Arabidopsis thaliana: one gene and its partners. The protein of the gene in region 1 interacts with the protein of each later gene in a biochemical or structural test. Each region holds a gene or a part of one and is shown in the gene's direction. Other genes may lie near its edges.

Evidence for each region.
Region 2: the proteins of AKR2 (region 1) and TOC75-III form a complex in vitro, tested with the Arabidopsis thaliana proteins (one study listed by BioGRID).
Region 3: the proteins of AKR2 (region 1) and TOC159 form a complex in vitro, tested with the Arabidopsis thaliana proteins (one study listed by BioGRID).
Region 4: the proteins of AKR2 (region 1) and AT1G59860 form a complex in vitro, tested with the Arabidopsis thaliana proteins (one study listed by BioGRID).

The regions. Positions count from the first base shown.
Region 1 is NC_003075.7:16,837,936-16,842,493, forward strand, and holds AKR2 (ankyrin repeat-containing protein 2), read left to right. Parts: upstream 1-1,596; 5' UTR 1,597-1,811; exon of another isoform or gene 1,812-1,909; 5' UTR 1,910-1,926; coding exon 1,927-1,963; intron 1,964-1,992; exon of another isoform or gene 1,993-2,059; coding exon 2,060-2,193; intron 2,194-2,274; coding exon 2,275-2,487; intron 2,488-2,581; coding exon 2,582-2,730; intron 2,731-2,796; coding exon 2,797-2,983; intron 2,984-3,112; coding exon 3,113-3,205; intron 3,206-3,486; coding exon 3,487-3,626; intron 3,627-3,724; coding exon 3,725-3,824; 3' UTR 3,825-4,014; downstream 4,015-4,558. Other genes in the region: CLC-E (chloride channel E), read right to left, coding at 1-344, 426-629, 723-1,410; NTRB (NADPH-dependent thioredoxin reductase B), read left to right, coding at 4,283-4,558. UniProt on the Arabidopsis thaliana protein: Exhibits chaperone activity toward chloroplast outer envelope membrane, mitochondrion outer membrane, endoplasmic reticulum membrane and peroxisomal proteins, by recruiting specific proteins containing a single transmembrane associated with an AKR2A-binding sequence (ABS) and subsequently binding glycolipids (e.g. monogalactosyldiacylglycerol (MGDG) and phosphatidylglycerol (PG)) present in the membrane of the target organelle.
Region 2 is NC_003074.8:17,215,313-17,221,451, reverse strand, and holds TOC75-III (translocon at the outer envelope membrane of chloroplasts 75-III), read left to right. Parts: upstream 1-2,040; 5' UTR 2,041-2,155; coding exon 2,156-3,346; intron 3,347-3,624; coding exon 3,625-3,846; intron 3,847-3,934; coding exon 3,935-4,042; intron 4,043-4,161; coding exon 4,162-4,353; intron 4,354-4,431; coding exon 4,432-4,680; intron 4,681-4,766; coding exon 4,767-5,021; intron 5,022-5,108; coding exon 5,109-5,348; 3' UTR 5,349-5,639; downstream 5,640-6,139. Other genes in the region: AT3G46750 (low-temperature-induced protein), read right to left, coding at 1-34, 116-326, 400-893, 983-1,297, 1,406-1,508; AT3G46735 (uncharacterized protein), read right to left, coding at 5,973-6,078; AT3G46730 (NB-ARC domain-containing disease resistance protein), read left to right, coding at 5,840-6,139.
Region 3 is NC_003075.7:1,102,986-1,110,609, forward strand, and holds the start of TOC159 (translocon at the outer envelope membrane of chloroplasts 159), read left to right. Parts: upstream 1-1,580; 5' UTR 1,581-1,780; coding exon 1,781-1,844; intron 1,845-1,927; coding exon 1,928-6,375; 3' UTR 6,376-6,714; exon of another isoform or gene 6,715-6,781; 3' UTR 6,782-6,818; exon of another isoform or gene 6,819-6,990; 3' UTR 6,991-7,152; intron 7,153-7,295; 3' UTR 7,296-7,380; exon of another isoform or gene 7,381-7,624. Other genes in the region: XT2 (UDP-xylosyltransferase 2), read left to right, coding at 1-360. UniProt on the Arabidopsis thaliana protein: GTPase involved in protein precursor import into chloroplasts. Seems to recognize chloroplast-destined precursor proteins and regulate their presentation to the translocation channel through GTP hydrolysis. Required for chloroplast biogenesis.
Region 4 is NC_003070.9:22,029,387-22,032,750, forward strand, and holds AT1G59860 (HSP20-like chaperones superfamily protein), read left to right. Parts: upstream 1-1,956; 5' UTR 1,957-2,087; coding exon 2,088-2,555; 3' UTR 2,556-2,864; downstream 2,865-3,364. Other genes in the region: AT1G59850 (ARM repeat superfamily protein), read right to left, coding at 1-821; AT1G59865 (uncharacterized protein), read right to left, coding at 2,937-3,060, 3,148-3,253. UniProt on the Arabidopsis thaliana protein: Possesses chaperone activity.

The DNA.
Region 1 (4,558 bases):
AGAAGGAGCATAGTATCCACCGACAAGTCCAGAAGCCCGACACCATGCGGTTGCAGCTATCTTGACCGCTACCAGCTGAAGCAAAAGATCAGCTGAAAGACCCTTCACAAATGGACGTTTCTCCAACAAAATATCCACATTCTGAAAACCCCAGTATAATACTTCAGGGTATACCAAAGCTATGATACCAACACTTAATCCACCCATTACAGGAAATACAGCCTTTGGTATCCCAGCATCCTTGTTAAGACTGTCAACAGCAGATGTCATGGATGATGTACATCGAGATAATGCCAACGAGACCAAGCCACACAGAGCGCCCAATAAAAGATAGAGTGGAAGTTCTGAAAATCAGTGACCAGCTCTCATAAGTTTGGTTTCTGGTTCCCTTGCGTAAAAAGCATAAGAATGGCAATGCATATTACCTCCAGGAGAGCGGAAGTCATAGTCAGGAACCTTAAACGCAGGTTCAGAGCCGAGACCGATTTCGGAAACCACAGAAGCAGTAACAGCACTAAGAATAACCATAGAAGTTGTGTTTGGAAGTGAAGTTGATGAATCAGTTGATGAAGAAGGCCACAAAACGGATTCAACTGCAAAGAAGCATCCAGCCACAGCTGCATTGAACCCTGTAACAACATATAACAAAGTCCTCTTAACGAATCAATCAAGAGTTCCATACGCAAGAGAGAACAACATTAGCAAATATCAGATGAACAAACCAGAGGAAATGCCAGCAGCTGAGCCAGCGGCAAGAAGTGAGAAGCCAGTCTGAGGACTTTTATTGAACAGAGAATTCACACCTTTAGCGATTGACGCTCCAATTTCAACACTTGGACCTTCCGGCCCCAGCGAATTTCCAGTCCCAAGCGTCACACATGCGGCAACAGTCTTAAGGAAAGGACGCAACACTGCCTTTACGCGATCGAGACTAGAATGAGAATCTCCAGTAGATTTTCCAGCAGATTCTCGAAGCTGATTGAGGATGCTCACCACCAAACCGCCGATAGTCGGAACAAGGATAACACGCAACCAATTGGAACCGATCGGTGCCTCTCTAAGCCACGAAGCTCCACGATCAGGAATCCCATCCCAGGAAAAGTCTCGAAGCAAGTGAACACAGTTGTTGAATAGAACCACACTAACTCCAGTGAGAACACCAACCAAACAAGCCGACGCTATCGCAAGCTCCTGAGACGGCTGCTGATCAAATCCAACCTCATCCTGATCAGTCTCCTGCTTCGCCGCCGGTAAACGCGGGAAAATTCTACCGCCAATAGCGACGGAACCGAAAAACGGTGAAAGGACGACATTGAACTGAAAAGGAACGTCGGTTTTGTGAATTGGAGCGAATCTCCGGGAAGAGACGGGAGATCGGAGGGCAGCACAGAGTGGAAGCGTGGCTGCCATGAACGGCTGCTTCCGTGAAGTGACGCGTGTTTATCCATTAACGGATAATTTGATCTTAAATCACAAATCTTACGTGGCTGATCTTATTATTCAAACGCATGGGCTTGGGCCTTGAGGTAAACAGGTTTATATGGGCCAATAACAATAAATTTGATTAAAAATAAAAGGCCTCTTAGCTTTAGGTTCAAACTTCAATGGAGAAGCAGTGGCTGTTGTCCCTCGCAGTTGATCTTCTTCTCAATCCAAAATCCAGCTGATAAATAAATAATTTTTCTCTTGTCGTCATATTAAAAAAAAGAAAGATTATCTGTATTTCAAGTTTCATGAGCGTTTGCCACCACAACATTGTCTTTTCGGGTTAATTTCTTCTTCTTCTTCCTTTTCTTACTAAATTCTCTTAGGTAGTTGTCGATTCGATTTCTTTGTCTTCCTCTTCGCTTATTTTCGTTGAATCTCTTGTTTACACCTTTTCCTGAAAACAAAATTGTGTTTTTTGTAGGGTTTTAGTCATACTTAATGGCTTCCAATTCGGAGAAAAATCCTCTTCTTTCAGGTGATTATTTTCTTCTCAGTATACAATCTGATCTGCGATAATGAATCGTTTCTAGTCAGATTTGGTTATTGGTTCATTGTAATTTGTTTACTGTAGATGAGAAACCCAAATCGACGGAGGAGAATAAGAGTTCTAAGCCGGAATCAGCTTCTGGGAGTTCAACTTCATCAGCTATGCCTGGCTTGAATTTCAATGCTTTTGATTTCTCTAATATGGCTAGTATTCTCAACGTAAGTTACCTTTGCTGTTAGCACAATTGAAAAGTTATCTTCTTTGAGTTTTTTTTTAATTGATAATGGTTTTTTTTGTAGGATCCTAGCATCAGAGAAATGGCTGAGCAAATAGCTAAAGATCCTGCGTTTAACCAATTGGCTGAGCAGCTTCAGAGATCTATTCCTAACGCTGGCCAGGAAGGTGGTTTCCCTAACTTTGATCCTCAACAGTATGTCAATACAATGCAACAGGTTATGCATAACCCTGAGTTTAAGACAATGGCCGAGAAACTTGGTACCGCCTTAGTTCAGGTTAGGAATTGATGACTTTTTCCATCTAATCGAGGTGTGGCTTTGAATGAAGCTCTGTGTCTTATCTGATTTTATTTATTTTTTTTGCCTACAGGATCCACAAATGTCTCCTTTTTTGGATGCTTTCTCGAATCCTGAAACAGCAGAACACTTTACTGAGCGTATGGCGCGGATGAAAGAAGATCCAGAGTTGAAACCTATACTAGATGAGATTGATGCTGGTGGTCCTTCTGCCATGATGAAGTGAGTGATACAAACTTCTTTCAATGTTTTTTAGAGAAACTGTAGAGTTTGTTTCTGTTTATGAAGGAAGAATTATTTATTCTGTTTTAGGTACTGGAATGATCCAGAAGTGCTGAAAAAGCTGGGTGAAGCAATGGGTATGCCTGTTGCTGGCTTACCAGACCAGACTGTTTCAGCTGAACCTGAGGTAGCAGAAGAAGGTGAAGAAGAAGAGTCTATTGTTCACCAAACTGCCAGTCTTGGTGATGTTGAGGTTAGACTGCTTCCTACGTTAATATGCTTGACCATGTGAGATTTATCTTGCGTGTTGCTTGAGGAATTAGATGTTCCAAGTTTTGTTTTGTTGAACTCGTTATTGGATTTTTATTCGTTGATTCATTAGGGTTTGAAAGCTGCCTTGGCATCTGGTGGTAACAAAGATGAAGAAGATTCTGAAGGAAGGACAGCATTGCATTTTGCTTGTGGATACGGCGAGGTATGCAATTCTCTTATCAATTCACGGCAATTAAATATTCGGATTTAGATGGTTCTCTTTTTTTCAGTAGCTGTGAAGTTAAGAATCTTTATAATCATTCAATTGGTAGAAAAGTAACCAGTCTACTTACGTCTACGAGTTTCATGACACAATTACTTATAGCAAGTTCAAATATTTGGTGAAAGAGCAATGAGATGGAACTGGCGATTACTTGCATACTAAAGATTTTGCTTATGAATATGGATTGAACTGAGTTTAACCCTGTTGAGCCCTATCAACAGTTGAAATGTGCTCAAGTTCTTATCGATGCTGGAGCAAGTGTTAATGCGGTTGACAAAAACAAGAACACACCTCTGCATTATGCTGCTGGTTACGGGAGGAAAGAGTGTGTAAGCCTTCTCCTGGAGAATGGTGCTGCAGTGTAAGTCTCACAACACAGTACTTATAATGAAACAACTCCATTAAACACTGTTTCAGGACTTTAATTATATGTGCTTTGGTTGATGTGTGTGGTTGCAGCACTCTGCAAAACCTAGACGAGAAGACGCCAATTGATGTAGCGAAGCTCAACAGCCAGCTGGAGGTGGTGAAGCTGCTTGAGAAGGATGCTTTCCTTTGAGCTCTGCTGGTTAAAGGAAAGCTCTAAGCTCATATTGTCTTTGAGGCATTTGTCTTGTGTGTGTCCTGAACCAGTTTCACAGGCTTTTTGTGTACACTTTTTATTAGTTCCTCTCTTCTTCTAAATTTGTCTCTTATGTTGTTTTAAAAGTCAATAAAGAAAGAAATAGCAATCAATGATTTAATTTATGATTATATTCTTTATTTCGTCGACCTCTACAGAATGATTCAATTTGGAAGAATCATTCTGGTTTGGAGGATATGTAAGAAAAACTACTTGATCTCCAAGTTATTCCATTCTTCTGTTACTGTATTGCCCAAATTCCCAAGCTTGACAATATTTACGCAAAGCTCAAAACCCAAAATATTTGAGAATCAAAACAAAATCAAGGGTCTTGTCTTTTTTTTTTTTTTTGGTGTGAATCAAAGGTCTTGTCTTTGCAAGTAAATTCGTTCCTAATGAACTGTGTGAGTCGTTTAAAGTGTTTGATAAGCAAAGCACGAAGCTTTGCACGGCTTGGTGGTGAATCCACTCTCTCTCAACCGCCGTCTCTCGCCTCCGCCGCGTTTTCTTCATCCGCCGTCATGAATGGTCTCGAAACTCACAACACAAGGCTCTGTATCGTAGGAAGTGGCCCAGCGGCACACACGGCGGCGATTTACGCAGCTAGGGCTGAACTTAAACCTCTTCTCTTCGAAGGATGGATGGCTAACGACATCGCTCCCGGTGGTCAA
Region 2 (6,139 bases), on another chromosome or scaffold:
TGAAGTATCTTTCCATGATTTTCTGCTTCAACAACTGCAGCAGAATCAAATGCATCAGAATACAATTGCAGGTGTGTCAAATTGTTAATAGTTGAGGAATAAAAGAGGAACTCACTTTCATTTGTGTTGGCTACAAGAGGAGCTTTGTTGTCTGCTGAATTTGAAGCAGGTGCCATGTTTGTGGCTGCACCAAAACTAGAAGTCTGAGAAGAACCTTTACGAGGACTGATAGCTTTAGATATCACTCGAGAAAGTTCTCTATCGTCTTCGCTAGGCTCAAACTTCTGCGATATGTATTCCTTCATTGATACGCCTTTGTCCCATACCTGGTTACAAACACAAGATGATTGACTGATGTATTTACCTAAATGCACAAACAGATAGAGAACTTTGTCGTACCTTGGTATTGAAGCCAGTGGGCTGGTTAGTTCCGGCAGTGTTGATTTCTGCAACATCATTTACCTCTTCTTCTCGCTCTGTTGGTTCTGGAAAAGCCATATCTTGAATCTTCTTAGTTATAGCTTGAGTTGCGTCAGAGACTTTAGCATAACCAGGTGCTAGCTTCTCTGTCACAGTTTCTGTTACTGTCTTGCTTGGACTAATAGGTTCCTGCTGGCTCGTGCACTCTTTCCTTGTCTTCTCAGACGATTCTGTTACTATTGTTGTTGTGTCAGAATCAGCAGGCTTCTCTTGCTTGACATCAGATAAAACATTCTTCTCAGAGATCACAGGATGTTCTGTTTTGGAACCATTACAATCTTTTTGTTCTTGTTCAGCGTCCTGTTTGGCTGGGAGAACAGACAAGACATTTGTCTCAGTGATCACAGGATTCTCTCGGGGATGCTGCCTTGCTGTCTCCTTTAACTCTTCAGGTGCCTTCTTTGATTCATACACTGAAAATAACACAAGAAGATCGATCAGTTTTAAGCAAATTCCTAAAAGGGTGGTTGTTACTTATGAAGCTTTGTTCAATTTCATTTACTTGGGGCTCCAAGATATTCAGGATCTTCTTCTTCTTCTTCTCCTCCTTCTTCTCTGACTTTACGGTCTTTTGACTTGTCACGTGGTGACAATGACGCATAACCAACTTCTCTAACTTCATGATCTTCGGATCTGCAAAACGGTGACATGGTTGCATCACCTTCTTCATCATGTCTCTTCTTGGTGCTGAGACTGTGCTGCAGTTTTTTCGCCTTATCCTTCATTTTAGAGAACAAAGATTTCTTATGGTGAGAATGTTCTCCATCATTTTCTTTTCTTGGTGAACCAGAAGGTGACCGCTTTGAAGCTTCACCAGCTGAAAAAAAGTATGACAAACAGATTTCAAACCAAGAGTTTGCGTCCAAAATCATCAAATCACTGAGAGTAAACAAAATGGATATTATCATTTCTTGGAGAGACTTACATTGGTGACGCTGGCTAAGTGTTGAGAAGCTAGGATTTCCAGAATGATCAACATGTGTTTTTAAGCTTTCGAGCTCAGCGACGGGGTCTAGTTGACGCGACATTTCAGAAACACAAAGTTCTTGTAGATGTTCTGTTTAGGAACTCTGATCCTCTGAGAACAACATAAGATAGATATAAGACAAGAAAAACTGTGCATGTCGTCTTGTTTCTCCGAGGTTCTTGGACAAACCATAAGAAAAAAAAATGCTTAAAATAGTCATGGTCTCTTATTGGAGAAGCATGAAGGGAAGACAAAGTCTTGGCCTGAGAAATTGACGTTTGAAGCTGAATTATAGGACTCACATTTGTAGAGTTTTCTAGAGAAAAACTGGAACCATAAATAACAAATACACTGTTTAAAGAACTTAAGCAAAACTTGTCTCTGAACTTTAATGACCAAAATATTAAGACTATGTGAGAAAAATGTAAGAACACATTTGTCTGGATAAAATGCATAAGTTACAGAATTATCACAGACTAAACATTTTTCAAGAACCTAGTCAGAAGTTTACTCATTTGTCTCACTGAAACTGCGTGCTGTTTCTAACTAAAGTAAACGTCACGCAGTTCTATGTTAAATAAACAAAACGTAATGTAGTCTAAAAGGAAAGTCTCTCTACCTGCTTAAAACCCAAAAGTACATTTTTTCGCCGAAGCCAAAAATCTTCACTTGCTTCTTCTTCTCTCTGAAACCTTATCTTCTCCGCCCATGGCCGCCTTCTCCGTCAACGGGCAGCTTATCCCGACGGCAACAAGCTCCACTGCTTCCACCTCTCTCTCTTCCCGTCGGAAATTTCTCTCTCCTTCCTCGTCTCGTCTCCCTCGCATCTCCACTCAATCTCCTCGTGTCCCATCGATAAAATGCAGCAAAAGCTTACCTAACCGAGATACAGAGACTTCCTCAAAGGATTCTCTCCTTAAAAACCTAGCTAAACCTCTAGCCGTAGCCTCAGTCTCCTCCGCTGCTTCATTCTTTCTGTTCCGAATCTCGAATCTTCCGTCGGTTCTGACCGGTGGTGGAGGAGGAGGAGATGGGAATTTCGGTGGATTTGGTGGTGGAGGTGGTGGTGGAGATGGAAATGATGGTGGATTTTGGGGGAAATTGTTTTCTCCTTCACCAGCGGTTGCTGATGAAGAACAATCACCGGATTGGGATTCTCATGGTTTACCGGCGAATATCGTTGTGCAATTGAACAAGCTTAGTGGTTTCAAGAAGTATAAGGTATCTGATATTATGTTCTTTGATCGACGGAGACAAACCACTATTGGTACTGAAGATTCCTTCTTCGAGATGGTCTCGATTCGTCCTGGTGGAGTTTACACTAAAGCTCAATTGCAGAAGGAGCTTGAAACCCTAGCTACTTGTGGAATGTTTGAGAAAGTTGATTTGGAAGGGAAAACGAAACCTGATGGAACCCTAGGTGTTACAATCTCGTTTGCTGAGAGTACATGGCAATCTGCTGATAGGTTTAGATGTATTAACGTTGGGTTAATGGTACAGTCGAAACCTATTGAGATGGATTCAGATATGACTGATAAAGAGAAGCTTGAGTATTACAGGAGTTTGGAGAAGGATTACAAGAGGAGAATTGATAGGGCACGGCCTTGTTTGTTGCCTGCACCTGTGTATGGTGAGGTTATGCAGATGTTGAGGGATCAAGGGAAAGTGAGTGCTAGGCTGTTGCAGAGGATTAGGGACCGTGTTCAGAAATGGTATCATGATGAAGGGTATGCTTGTGCTCAAGTTGTGAATTTTGGGAATTTGAATACTAAGGAGGTTGTTTGTGAAGTTGTGGAAGGTGATATAACTCAGCTAGTTATTCAGTTTCAAGATAAGCTTGGTAATGTGGTTGAAGGAAATACTCAAGTTCCTGTGGTGCGCAGGGAATTGCCTAAGCAGGTATGTTTCTCAAGTTCTGCTATGTCAGATATGTCATTGTTGATGTGATCATGATTTAGTATAGGATGATGACGAAAGTGTAGTTATGTTATAGATTGATATGTCAGGAAAAAATTGACAGACTTTTAACTTGAACTTGCTATTTAAGTCTGATGGATGTAAGAGGTTTAATTGCTTCAATGAACTCATTGTACAAATGTTTTATATTCCAGACATGTAATGATATATCTCATTTGTTATGTTAGTTTTAGTGATAGTTTCGATGTTTCGTTGAACAGCTTCGCCAAGGCTATGTTTTCAACATTGAAGCTGGGAAAAAAGCTCTCAGTAACATCAATTCATTGGGGCTGTTCTCTAACATTGAAGTCAATCCACGCCCAGATGAGAAAAATGAAGGGGGCATTATTGTTGAGATCAAGCTTAAGGAGCTAGAACAGAAGTCAGCTGAAGTCAGTACAGAATGGAGTATTGTTCCTGGGCGTGGAGGAGCTCCCACATTGGTATGAATCCTTCCTTACTGAAATAAGTACAGATTGTAAAATTTGAGAAGTTCCATTGAGTTTGATTGTTATTGTTTATATGCATCAGGCTTCATTCCAGCCAGGTGGTTCTGTTACTTTCGAGCATCGAAACCTCCAGGGTCTTAATAGGTCTCTCATGGGTTCAGTGACCACTAGCAACTTCTTGAATCCTCAGGTACATTCGATAAGCTTACATGATTGATACATCTCTGGTTCAACTTTTCGGTTGATAACATCCATCTATTTCTGTTTCTATGTGCTAAGCACAAACCTTATGTTACATTTTTTCCTCAGGATGATCTTTCGTTTAAGCTTGAGTATGTGCACCCGTATCTGGATGGTGTTTACAATCCTCGGAACCGAACATTCAAAACAAGCTGCTTCAACAGCCGCAAACTTAGCCCAGTATTCACTGGAGGACCTGGTGTTGAGGAAGTGCCACCAATTTGGGTTGACCGAGCTGGTGTGAAAGCTAATATAACTGAGGTAAGCTTGCCAATCCTCAGTGCCATAATCGACTTATTTTGTCCTACAAACACTTAACTGAAACATATTTTCATGCAGAACTTCACCCGTCAGAGTAAGTTTACATATGGACTTGTGATGGAGGAGATAACAACCCGAGATGAAAGCAGTCACATTGCTGCAAATGGTCAGAGACTACTACCTAGCGGTGGAATCAGTGCTGATGGACCTCCAACAACTCTCAGTGGTACCGGTGTCGATCGAATGGCTTTTCTACAAGCCAACATCACCCGTGACAATACCAAATTTGTTAATGGGGCAGTTGTTGGACAGAGGACTGTCTTTCAGGTTTGCTTTCCCAATGATCAAATGAGATTATAAGGATGAGTCATCTGTATATTGTAAGCTTTACACAATGTATTTGCAAATCACAGGTTGATCAGGGATTGGGTATTGGGAGCAAATTCCCGTTCTTCAACCGCCACCAGTTAACCATGACAAAATTCATTCAGTTGCGGGAAGTAGAACAAGGGGCTGGTAAGTCACCACCACCAGTTCTAGTCCTCCATGGGCATTACGGAGGCTGCGTTGGCGACCTTCCAAGCTACGATGCTTTTGTCCTCGGTGGTCCGTACTCTGTCCGTGGCTACAACATGGGAGAGCTCGGTGCTGCTAGAAACATTGCCGAGGTAATACAGCAAACACTCAAAACAAAAACAGTCTTTTCTCCTAAACCCGAAAAATATGTGTGTCTAATTTGGTTTCATGGATTACAGGTCGGTGCTGAGATCAGAATACCCGTGAAGAACACACATGTCTACGCTTTTGTTGAGCATGGAAATGATTTAGGAAGCTCAAAGGATGTGAAGGGAAACCCTACAGCAGTGTACAGGAGAACGGGTCAGGGTTCATCCTATGGTGCAGGTGTGAAACTCGGTTTGGTCCGAGCTGAGTATGCTGTAGATCACAACAATGGAACCGGTGCTCTGTTCTTCCGATTTGGAGAGAGGTATTAAGGTAATGTGAGAAGCAGGCTCATGTTATCCACCTTAGTCTTTTCATTTTCTCTGTTGAGGATCTGCTATTTTTCTCTTTTTTCCTTTTCTTTTGTGTTTTCTTTTTTTTTTTCTACTTCTTTTTCAATAATTGTTTAATGTTAGTGTTTGATGACGTTGCTGAGTTGTGCTGAGAATCGGGAAAGAGTTTGTTCTTCGTAATATGTCTAGACTTTTGTAGGAAAATTTTGAAACTTTCAAGTTTCAAAAAATCGTATGAATAGTTGACAAATGAAAATTTATATTGGTAACACGTCTGTCTGCATCTGAGTTCTCTTTTAAAAATAACGAATAAGGGATAGTGCAATAGAATTTAATCAAATGTCAACACCAAACATCTACAAAGTCAAGTGTCAGAGGCTTTCGAAAACTTGAAATTGTTGACATTAGGAAACAAAGCATATCTTCAATCTTCTCCATATTTTGAAATCTTTCAATTTGATTCTGTTGAGATGGTAGATGCTGTCACTGGTTTCGTTTTGAATAAGATCGGCGGCTATCTCATCAATGAAGTATTGGCGTTGATGGGAGTCAAAGATGATCTAGAGGAGCTGAAGACGGAGTTGACGTGCATCCATGGTTATCTTAAGGATGTTGAAGCTCGAGAAAGAGAAGATGAGGTCTCGAAAGAGTGGACAAAACTGGTTTTAGATATCGCCTATGATATCGAGGATGTTTTGGACACCTATTTCTTGAAACTTGAAGAAAGATCACTAAGACGAGGCTTGTTGAGATTGACCAACAAAATAGGC
Region 3 (7,624 bases), about 16 Mb from region 1:
GGATACTATCTTCACGGTTACTGGGGGATTCTTGTGGACAGATATGAAGAAATGATAGAAAACTACCACCCGGGTCTAGGAGATCACAGATGGCCATTGGTGACTCACTTTGTCGGTTGCAAACCGTGTGGGAAATTTGGTGATTACCCGGTGGAACGGTGTCTAAAACAAATGGACAGAGCCTTTAACTTTGGAGATAACCAGATTCTGCAAATCTATGGTTTCACTCACAAATCTTTGGCTAGTCGTAAAGTCAAGAGAGTGCGGAACGAGACTAGCAATCCGTTGGAGATGAAAGACGAGCTCGGGTTGCTTCATCCGGCGTTTAAGGCGGTTAAGGTACAAACCAATCAAGTTTGAATCGGTTTTGCGTTTAGGATTTGTGTTATGTTTCTCGCTATATTTATGTCTTGTGTCTTTGCTTGTTGTTGTACTAAGATGGATGATAAAGTATTGTGCAGAGACATCAGTTAATTCTTTGGTTTTACTTTGTCTCTACGTCTAGAGTTCTATTACGAAATCAAAATGTTGTTTTTCTTCCTTTTTGTTCTTTGTAATCCATTAGAACTTGAGATTTTGTAGCTTCATGGATCAATAATCTGTGTTAATTCAAGAACTTTTTTTTAACCTGATTTCACATTCAACTAATTATTTACTTTTAGTATGCAAAATGTGAAAAAATCACATTGAGTTAGTATAGTTCTGAGATCATATTCACAAGTTTTGTGTAGTTTAGGAGTTTAATTCGAAAAACAAAATTTGGCATGTGGTCAGATTCTTTTGCAGTATGGGTTGTTGTATCTGAAATCTGAATGTCTTTAATTGATAATAAAATCATGTATACGGGCTATTATTAGGGGGAGGCCTTATAAAAGCCCATCTGAAAACTAAAATCACGGCCTAATATATGGAATCCGTGTTATACAAAAATCCAAGATAATTCGTAGATAATGGTGAGAAAATCGTTTGTGGCCAAGCAATTTCGGGTAGGGAGGATCAACAAAGATACAAAAAAGATTTCTTTCTTCTTTATAAAACCCAAATCTCAAAATGTTATCTCGTTTTTTATTTTAAATGTTTTATTTTATTTTGTTGTTGTGTGGTTTTTTTGGTTTTTAGTAAAGAGAAGATATAACAAAACCCTAATTCTCATGAGTTCAAAAACCCTAGATTTAGTGAGCCCATCAAAACATTTTCCATTGGGGAAGATTTTAACATTTGGAGAATTGTGCATAATAAAAACAAAATATTAAACAGTAAATACTTTCCAAAAAGTGACTAAAATATTCTAAATTTACTCAACAAAAATTGAAAATTCTTGACAAAAAAATTACTGTTTTTTAAAATGATACAATGTTTTTCAAATTTTAACCACAAATGATTATTGTACTTCTTCCTCAAATAAAAAAAGAAACTCTATATATTTTGGCTTGAGCCAATGAAGCGACACAGTTTAAAGCGTAGCACAAAAGAGAGCCCTCTTGGAAACTTCACCAACATAGAAGCGAGGGTAATTCGGTAATTTCATCATCATCCTCAAAACACAAACTGAGAAGATAAAATCCCAAGGCAAAGAAGAAAAACGAAGAGTCATTTTTTGTTCGCCGAGTGACCTTATCTCTCCCAATTCTCTCTTCTTCAAAAGAGAGAGAGCAGCCAAATTCTCAATCATAAAAACCTTCACACAAAAAAGGGTAAATTCCTTTAAACCCTATCTATCTATCGCTATCTCCTTCCTCCACAAGTTTGGCGGAGAAAGAGTCTCAGTAGCAAAGCGGAAATGGACTCAAAGTCGGTTACTCCAGAACCAACCAACCCCTTCTACGCTTCTTCGGGGCAATCAGGTTTTTCTTCTTTCTCGTTTATATCTTCTTTAATCTGCGTTTTTGGGAATAGGGTTTTAATCGGAAGGATATTTTGTTATCAGGAAAAACCTATGCTTCTGTTGTCGCCGCCGCTGCTGCTGCAGCCGCCGATAAGGAGGATGGTGGTGCTGTGAGTAGTGCCAAGGAGTTGGATTCCTCATCGGAGGCTGTGTCTGGTAATTCGGATAAGGTTGGAGCTGATGATTTATCTGACTCCGAGAAGGAGAAGCCGAATTTGGTGGGTGATGGGAAGGTTTCCGACGAGGTGGATGGTTCTTTAAAGGAGGATTCTACTACTCCTGAGGCTACTCCGAAGCCTGAGGTGGTTTCTGGTGAGACAATTGGTGTAGATGATGTTTCATCGTTATCTCCGAAGCCGGAGGCTGTTTCTGATGGTGTAGGGGTTGTGGAGGAGAATAAGAAGGTTAAGGAGGACGTGGAGGATATTAAAGACGATGGTGAGAGTAAGATTGAAAATGGGAGTGTTGATGTTGATGTGAAACAGGCTTCCACAGATGGGGAGAGTGAGAGTAAAGTGAAGGATGTGGAAGAAGAAGATGTTGGAACAAAAAAAGATGATGAGGGGGAGAGTGAGTTGGGTGGAAAAGTTGATGTTGACGATAAAAGTGATAATGTTATTGAAGAAGAGGGTGTGGAGTTAACTGATAAAGGAGACGTCATTGTGAACTCGTCCCCTGTAGAATCAGTGCATGTTGATGTGGCAAAACCAGGGGTGGTTGTTGTAGGAGACGCAGAGGGAAGTGAGGAGTTGAAGATTAATGCTGATGCTGAAACTCTTGAAGTGGCTAATAAGTTTGATCAAATTGGGGATGATGATAGTGGTGAATTTGAACCTGTGTCTGACAAGGCCATTGAGGAGGTAGAAGAAAAATTTACTAGCGAATCAGACTCTATTGCAGACTCCTCTAAGTTAGAATCTGTGGATACCAGTGCTGTAGAGCCAGAGGTTGTAGCTGCCGAGAGTGGGAGTGAACCAAAGGATGTGGAAAAAGCCAACGGATTGGAGAAGGGTATGACTTATGCTGAAGTAATCAAGGCAGCTAGTGCAGTAGCTGACAATGGAACCAAAGAGGAGGAGAGTGTGCTCGGTGGCATAGTCGATGATGCAGAAGAAGGTGTTAAGTTAAACAACAAAGGAGACTTTGTGGTGGACTCATCTGCTATTGAAGCTGTGAATGTAGATGTGGCAAAGCCAGGGGTTGTTGTTGTTGGAGACGTAGAGGTGAGTGAGGTGCTGGAAACTGATGGCAACATCCCTGATGTGCATAATAAGTTTGATCCAATTGGCCAAGGTGAAGGTGGTGAAGTTGAACTTGAATCCGATAAAGCCACAGAGGAGGGAGGAGGAAAGTTGGTTAGTGAAGGAGACTCTATGGTTGACTCCTCTGTGGTGGACTCTGTTGATGCTGATATCAATGTTGCAGAGCCAGGGGTTGTGGTTGTCGGGGCGGCTAAGGAGGCTGTAATTAAGGAAGATGATAAAGATGATGAGGTTGACAAGACCATCTCAAATATTGAGGAACCTGATGACCTGACTGCTGCATATGATGGAAATTTTGAATTGGCTGTTAAGGAAATATCAGAGGCTGCCAAAGTAGAGCCAGACGAACCAAAAGTAGGTGTGGAAGTAGAAGAATTGCCTGTTTCTGAAAGTTTAAAAGTGGGTTCAGTTGATGCAGAAGAGGATTCAATTCCTGCAGCTGAGTCACAGTTTGAGGTTCGGAAAGTTGTCGAAGGGGACAGTGCTGAAGAGGATGAAAACAAGCTCCCAGTCGAAGACATTGTTTCTTCTCGTGAGTTTAGCTTTGGAGGCAAGGAAGTGGACCAGGAACCTTCTGGCGAAGGTGTTACCAGGGTTGATGGGTCTGAAAGTGAAGAAGAAACTGAAGAGATGATATTTGGGAGTTCTGAAGCTGCAAAACAGTTCTTAGCAGAGTTGGAAAAGGCTTCTTCTGGTATAGAGGCACATTCTGATGAAGCAAACATTTCTAACAATATGTCAGATAGGATTGATGGCCAGATTGTCACCGATTCTGACGAGGATGTAGACACAGAGGATGAAGGTGAGGAGAAAATGTTTGATACTGCAGCTTTGGCTGCGCTTTTGAAGGCAGCCACTGGTGGTGGAAGTTCAGAAGGTGGCAATTTTACCATAACATCTCAGGATGGCACGAAGCTTTTCTCTATGGATCGACCTGCTGGTTTGAGTTCATCGTTAAGGCCCTTGAAGCCTGCAGCAGCTCCACGTGCAAACCGTTCCAACATCTTTTCCAATTCTAATGTCACAATGGCAGATGAGACTGAGATTAACTTGAGCGAGGAAGAGAAACAGAAATTAGAAAAGTTGCAAAGCCTCCGTGTGAAGTTTTTGCGGCTTTTGCAAAGGTTGGGTCATTCGGCAGAAGATTCAATTGCAGCGCAGGTTCTTTACCGTCTTGCACTACTTGCTGGGAGACAAGCAGGGCAGTTATTCAGTCTTGATGCTGCAAAGAAGAAGGCTGTGGAGTCTGAGGCTGAGGGCAACGAAGAATTGATCTTCTCCCTAAACATACTGGTCCTTGGAAAAGCCGGGGTGGGAAAAAGTGCTACTATAAATTCCATTTTGGGAAACCAGATTGCGTCCATTGATGCTTTTGGGCTCTCAACCACTTCGGTTAGAGAAATTTCTGGAACGGTGAATGGTGTCAAGATTACCTTTATTGATACTCCGGGTTTGAAGTCTGCTGCGATGGATCAAAGTACAAATGCAAAAATGTTGTCCTCTGTAAAGAAGGTAATGAAGAAGTGTCCCCCTGATATTGTACTATATGTAGATCGTCTTGACACCCAGACCAGGGACTTGAACAATTTGCCCTTGCTAAGGACGATTACTGCTTCTCTTGGTACATCCATATGGAAAAACGCTATAGTGACATTGACCCATGCGGCTTCTGCCCCTCCTGATGGCCCATCTGGCACCCCATTGAGCTATGATGTGTTTGTAGCGCAGTGCTCACATATTGTGCAACAGTCTATAGGACAGGCTGTTGGAGATCTACGCTTGATGAATCCAAGTCTGATGAATCCAGTTTCACTTGTTGAGAATCACCCCTTGTGTAGGAAGAACCGGGAGGGAGTGAAGGTTCTCCCGAATGGCCAAACTTGGAGATCTCAGCTGTTGCTATTGTGTTACTCCCTGAAGGTTTTGTCAGAAACAAATTCTCTATTGAGGCCTCAAGAACCATTGGACCATCGTAAAGTATTTGGTTTCCGAGTTAGATCCCCGCCTCTCCCTTACTTGTTGTCTTGGCTGTTGCAGTCCCGTGCACATCCTAAGCTCCCTGGAGACCAAGGTGGTGATAGTGTTGACTCTGATATCGAAATTGATGATGTGTCTGATTCTGAGCAGGAAGATGGGGAAGATGATGAGTATGACCAGCTGCCACCATTTAAGCCTCTTCGAAAAACCCAACTTGCAAAGCTCTCAAATGAACAGAGAAAGGCATATTTCGAGGAGTATGATTACCGTGTAAAGCTCCTGCAGAAGAAGCAATGGAGAGAGGAATTAAAGAGGATGAAAGAAATGAAGAAAAACGGGAAGAAGCTGGGTGAAAGTGAGTTTGGTTATCCGGGAGAAGAAGATGATCCAGAAAACGGGGCTCCAGCTGCAGTGCCAGTTCCATTACCCGATATGGTTTTGCCACCTTCATTTGATAGTGATAACTCAGCTTACCGATACCGATATCTGGAACCCACTTCACAACTCCTAACCAGGCCAGTGTTGGATACCCATGGTTGGGACCATGACTGTGGATATGACGGCGTCAATGCAGAACACAGTCTTGCTCTAGCTAGCCGGTTCCCTGCCACAGCTACTGTCCAAGTCACCAAGGACAAGAAAGAGTTCAACATTCATCTGGACTCCTCTGTGTCTGCTAAGCACGGGGAGAATGGATCCACCATGGCAGGGTTCGATATTCAGAATGTAGGCAAGCAGCTGGCATATGTGGTCAGAGGAGAAACCAAATTCAAGAATTTGAGGAAGAACAAGACAACTGTTGGAGGGTCAGTGACATTCTTGGGAGAGAACATCGCCACTGGGGTCAAACTCGAGGACCAAATAGCACTGGGGAAAAGGTTGGTGCTTGTGGGCAGCACTGGGACAATGCGATCACAGGGAGATTCGGCCTATGGTGCGAACCTCGAGGTCAGGCTTAGGGAAGCTGATTTCCCAATTGGACAGGACCAATCTTCTTTTGGGCTGTCTCTGGTAAAGTGGAGAGGCGATTTAGCCCTTGGAGCCAATCTCCAATCTCAAGTCTCTGTTGGAAGGAACTCAAAGATTGCGCTTCGTGCAGGACTTAACAACAAGATGAGCGGACAGATCACAGTCAGAACCAGCAGCTCGGATCAGTTGCAAATCGCTCTCACAGCCATTCTTCCAATTGCCATGTCCATCTACAAGAGCATTCGACCCGAAGCGACGAACGACAAGTACAGCATGTACTAAATATGCTGATGAATGCTGCAGAATGATCTTTTCTTTTATTACTGGTTTTTAGTTCATGTTTTTCCCCCACTTTAATAAAAACTTTGTTGAAGTTTATCAAAGTTGTATTTTGGTTCTGTTGAGAGGTTCCCATCGGATTTAATTTATCATGTATCAGTAATTCTTCACTTTCATTAGCCCTTCTCAGCTTCTCTTGCTGTTCTTCAGATAATGGAATCTAGTTCAGTCTTCTTTTGGTCTACGTCTCATGCTAATGATGTTGCTTGGTTTGAGTTTGCTAATTTGTTACTAAATTTCTGCAGAAGATACAAATCACTCGGTGAAGAATCTTTAAAGCAGGTGCGTAGCCTGTAACTGTTGATAAGATTTTGTACTAGAACCCTCATCTCATTGTGTTCTTCACCAGGATCTTACTGTTCTTCCTTGGTCCCTTGAAGGCAATGGTATGTTTTTTATAAAAATGCTTTGTAATAGATTTTCATTCTTATATAATATCTGGAAACTATTGGAGTATCGTGGTGAAGTAAACTTGATGATACTAGCAGACAAAACTCCGAATAAAGGATATTTCTTGGTGGACTTAATCTTTATGGTTTATGTGAATATTTGATGTAGCAAAGCCTCTAACTTAAAGGATGACCAGAGTCTGCAAATATATGGCTGGCTTTACTCGCAATTCTTTGGGTAGCCACAAAGTCATCAGAGTAATGAGACGAGCAAACAGTTGGAGATAAACACTAGGTGGACTTTCTTCACCCTGCGTTTACGGCGGTCAAGGTACAAAATTGATGGTGAAAAACACAAACTTGCTGCTCTAACCGTTTCTGTTATTTATAGAGAGGTGAATAGGTCCAGAAATCTGATGTGTTTTGTTTTGTCTGATTTGAAGCTTACGTCTATATTTTACTTGTCATTTTCAGACATGACAAAGCAAGGAAACTTTAAGGATAAGAACGTTCAAAGTCTTCTTAAGTCAACTTCTTTCGCCAGGAGAAACGTTCCAAAGTAAGATTTCCACCAGACTAAAGTCCTTACATACTATTCTCACTAGTCAGTATCTCCATAGTTAAGACATCGCAATCTTTGCATTAGTTAACTAATTGATTTATTTTAGAATAGCTTGAAGATTAGATAAATAGTTTTTGCCAAAGATACTCTCAAGAGCATACACACACACTCACATAACTGAAAGAAAACAGAGGATACAACAGAAAGAAAGTACTGAGAAATTGGGCAATGAGAAAGCCGC
Region 4 (3,364 bases), on another chromosome or scaffold:
CGTCTGCTCTCAAGAATACCTAGACATGTCTTCTTATACAGTGGAGCTAATTCTTCTTCTACCATAGCCACTCTAGCCATTGCCTCCGCAGCAGCTTTCCTCGCACGCCAATCGTCGCTGCTTAGAAACTCCGAGACGTTTGGTAAAAGCCAGTCTAGCACCGCCTTTTCGCTGTTTCGACCGCCAACAGCGCCGATTACGGTTCCTATGGCTCCAAGAAGTTCCGCTTTCGCCTTGAAACCTTCCGATTTAAGCAACTTCCCAATCTTCGGCAGGGCCTTCTGCAGTTGCTCAACATCCGGCTCATCTGCTGCGTCTACCGCCGCAGCAAGGCACATAGCAGCGCTGATCTGCGCATTGGGATCGCAATCGTGGATAACCGTTTCGATCATTGGTCCGAAAAGGATGGAGAAAGGCTGTCCGGTGATGTTGGTAGTCATATCAACGGAAGCGGCAACACAAGCGGCACGGACGGAGGAATCAGGATCACGGAGGCGGCGGAGAACGGTGGAGACCATCTTCGAGAGGTGAGGAGCGAGAGAATCGCCATGAGAACGAGAAAGAACAGAGAGAAGCGAAACGCAATGTTTCCTCACCGGAGATTTTGCGGAAGAGTCTGTACTCTGAAGACAGTTAATAAATAAAGAGAAAGTCTCCGGTGAGAGATTAAGAGCGATTGAATCAAGCTCTGCGGCAGCGAGAGCAAGAGTATCGCGATCAGAGAGACGATTGAGACAAGCGATGACTCGTTGCTTGAGATCAGTAACCGTCATAGCCGGCTGTGAATGAGACGGAGAAGAACGGATTTGAACGGAAGGCATTGTGAAAATGTCCGGAGACTTTTTCAGAGATCCGCCATGGAAGGAGAGAAGAAAAAGCTTTGTGGAGAAACTAAGATTTGGCGGCAGAAAAAAGGCTATGAAGATGACTCTACTACGGTTGGTACTTGGCCTTTTTAAACAAGACTCGTCTTTGGCTTGCCTTTTAAACTTGTCATATTTCACTACCTGCCACAAAATTTACATTTACTATTAGTTTATATCCAAAATTTCTAGTTTTCGTAAGACTATGTCCTTTTTTTGTTTCTAAACATCGAATATGTCAAATTTAGTATTATCTTACAATTTTTTTTTGTTGGTCAAAATATTATCTTACTTGTTTCTCGTTTTATGAACGTCTTTGTACATCAAAACAGATTCAATATACCAACAAGGATTCTAACGTACGCAAGGAATAGTTAAGTAAATCCTCTATGTAGTAATGGGAAATTGTTAGGACTTTGAAGTAAGTATCAGAGACTCGTGTATAATAAGGTATTCAAAGTCAGGAAGATAATAAAATATTTGTGTAACTTGGTGGCCACTTAGAAGAAGAACCAAGAATATACAAGCAAAAAGGAAAAAAAACTAGATTCCGTAAGATTTTCTTTTATTTCAATCCTGATTATAATTAAAAGAAGGAAACTATATCCACAACCACAATGTTACACATGAGCTAATGAGCAAGTCAAGCAAACACGGTTTCTTAACGCGTAACCAAACGTGAAATGAACTATTCTTTCTATTTTTCTCAATATTAGGATGACATATATACTGTTATTTAACATCTATATATCTAATAACAAACTAAATCTTCGAATCATACTTTTCTCAACAAAAGATTGCATTGATAAGTTCTTAATTTAAAATATTTATGAGTACATCCAAGACAAAGAATAGTTCTCTATTTTCAGAGAGGACTGCATGTAATGGTAGTAATCATGTTTTCTCTTAGGAAAAAACCCGCACAACGTTTATGGGAAACATGTTTGTGTTTGAATAACCTTTATGGAAAAACAAAAATATTTAGCAACTGATTAAAACTCTTTACACGGCTCATATTTAAATATTGGGCCTTTAGAGCCCATTATGGCCCATAAACACACAACTTGGAACGCTTCTAGACTTTTCTGGATTTGCCTCATTTCTAGAAGCTCTGGAGATTTCTTCTTCATCAATAAATAGAATCAGCAAACTCACCAGCTTTCATCATAAATTCGAAATTCAATTCGTCGGAAAATTGTTCAGATTTCGAAATCAACCGAGAAAATGTCGCTGATTCCAAGCTTCTTCGGCAACAACAGGCGAATCAACAACAACATATTCGATCCATTCTCACTCGACGTATGGGATCCATTCAAGGAACTTCAATTCCCGTCATCGTCTTCGTCGGCGATAGCAAACGCACGTGTGGATTGGAAAGAGACGGCGGAGGCGCACGTGTTCAAGGCGGATTTACCGGGGATGAAGAAAGAAGAGGTTAAAGTAGAGATTGAGGATGATAGTGTGCTTAAGATCAGCGGAGAGAGACACGTTGAGAAAGAGGAGAAGCAGGACACGTGGCATCGTGTAGAGAGATCGAGTGGGGGATTCTCGAGGAAGTTTAGGTTACCGGAGAATGTGAAGATGGATCAAGTTAAAGCTTCAATGGAGAATGGTGTTTTGACTGTGACTGTGCCTAAAGTGGAGACTAATAAGAAGAAGGCTCAAGTTAAGTCTATTGATATCTCTGGCTAAGCCAATTTAGCTTGATTTGAGTTCTCTCTGGGTCTTGACTTTGTGTGTGTGTGTCTCTGATGATTATGGTTCTTCGTTTGATTGTAGTTTTAAACTAATAATCAATGGAAGCTAGTAACTTGTGTGACAAGTAAATGTATGGTGGAGAAATGTGTGTATTTGGATTATAATAGAAATACCTATTTTCATCTAGAAGCTCAGGATCTAGTTATTGATAATTAGAGCTCGAAACTGAGATGGATCTTATTGTTTGGATAGTTGTTTTAACTATTCAGGATCTTATTGTTTGGATAGTTGTTTAACTATTTATAACTAGAGATCGAAATTGAGATGGATCATGAATTTCATTGAAAATTAAGGCTAAACTGTTTGGCTAGTTGTTTAACTCTTAAGCATGTATCTGGAGATATCTTTATTCATTGTTTGATTTTGACATTGTGGTTCATCTTGTTTGATGGAGACTCTTTGTAGGAAATCGCTTTGGCCAACACCAATGTGAACTAGTCTGGCCAATTTAGTTAATTGATTGATCATCATATTGTTTTTGGCATTTTTCAGAACGTGTAATAACAGTGAAGGAATTTTGAGGTACCTGCTCAACTGAATCAGATTCAGGAGGGTTTTAGGAGAGGTAATATGGAAGTAGCAATGCTTAAGAAAGATAAAGCTAGAGCTCTTGATGATCTGCTGAAAATCGACTAAGGAAGCCAATGACAAACTCAGACAGGAAAAAACTGTAAGAAGAAGAAGAAAATAAGAGAAAAGCAACAAAGCTATGGAAAGCTTAACTTTGGATTTGCAAGTTAAGT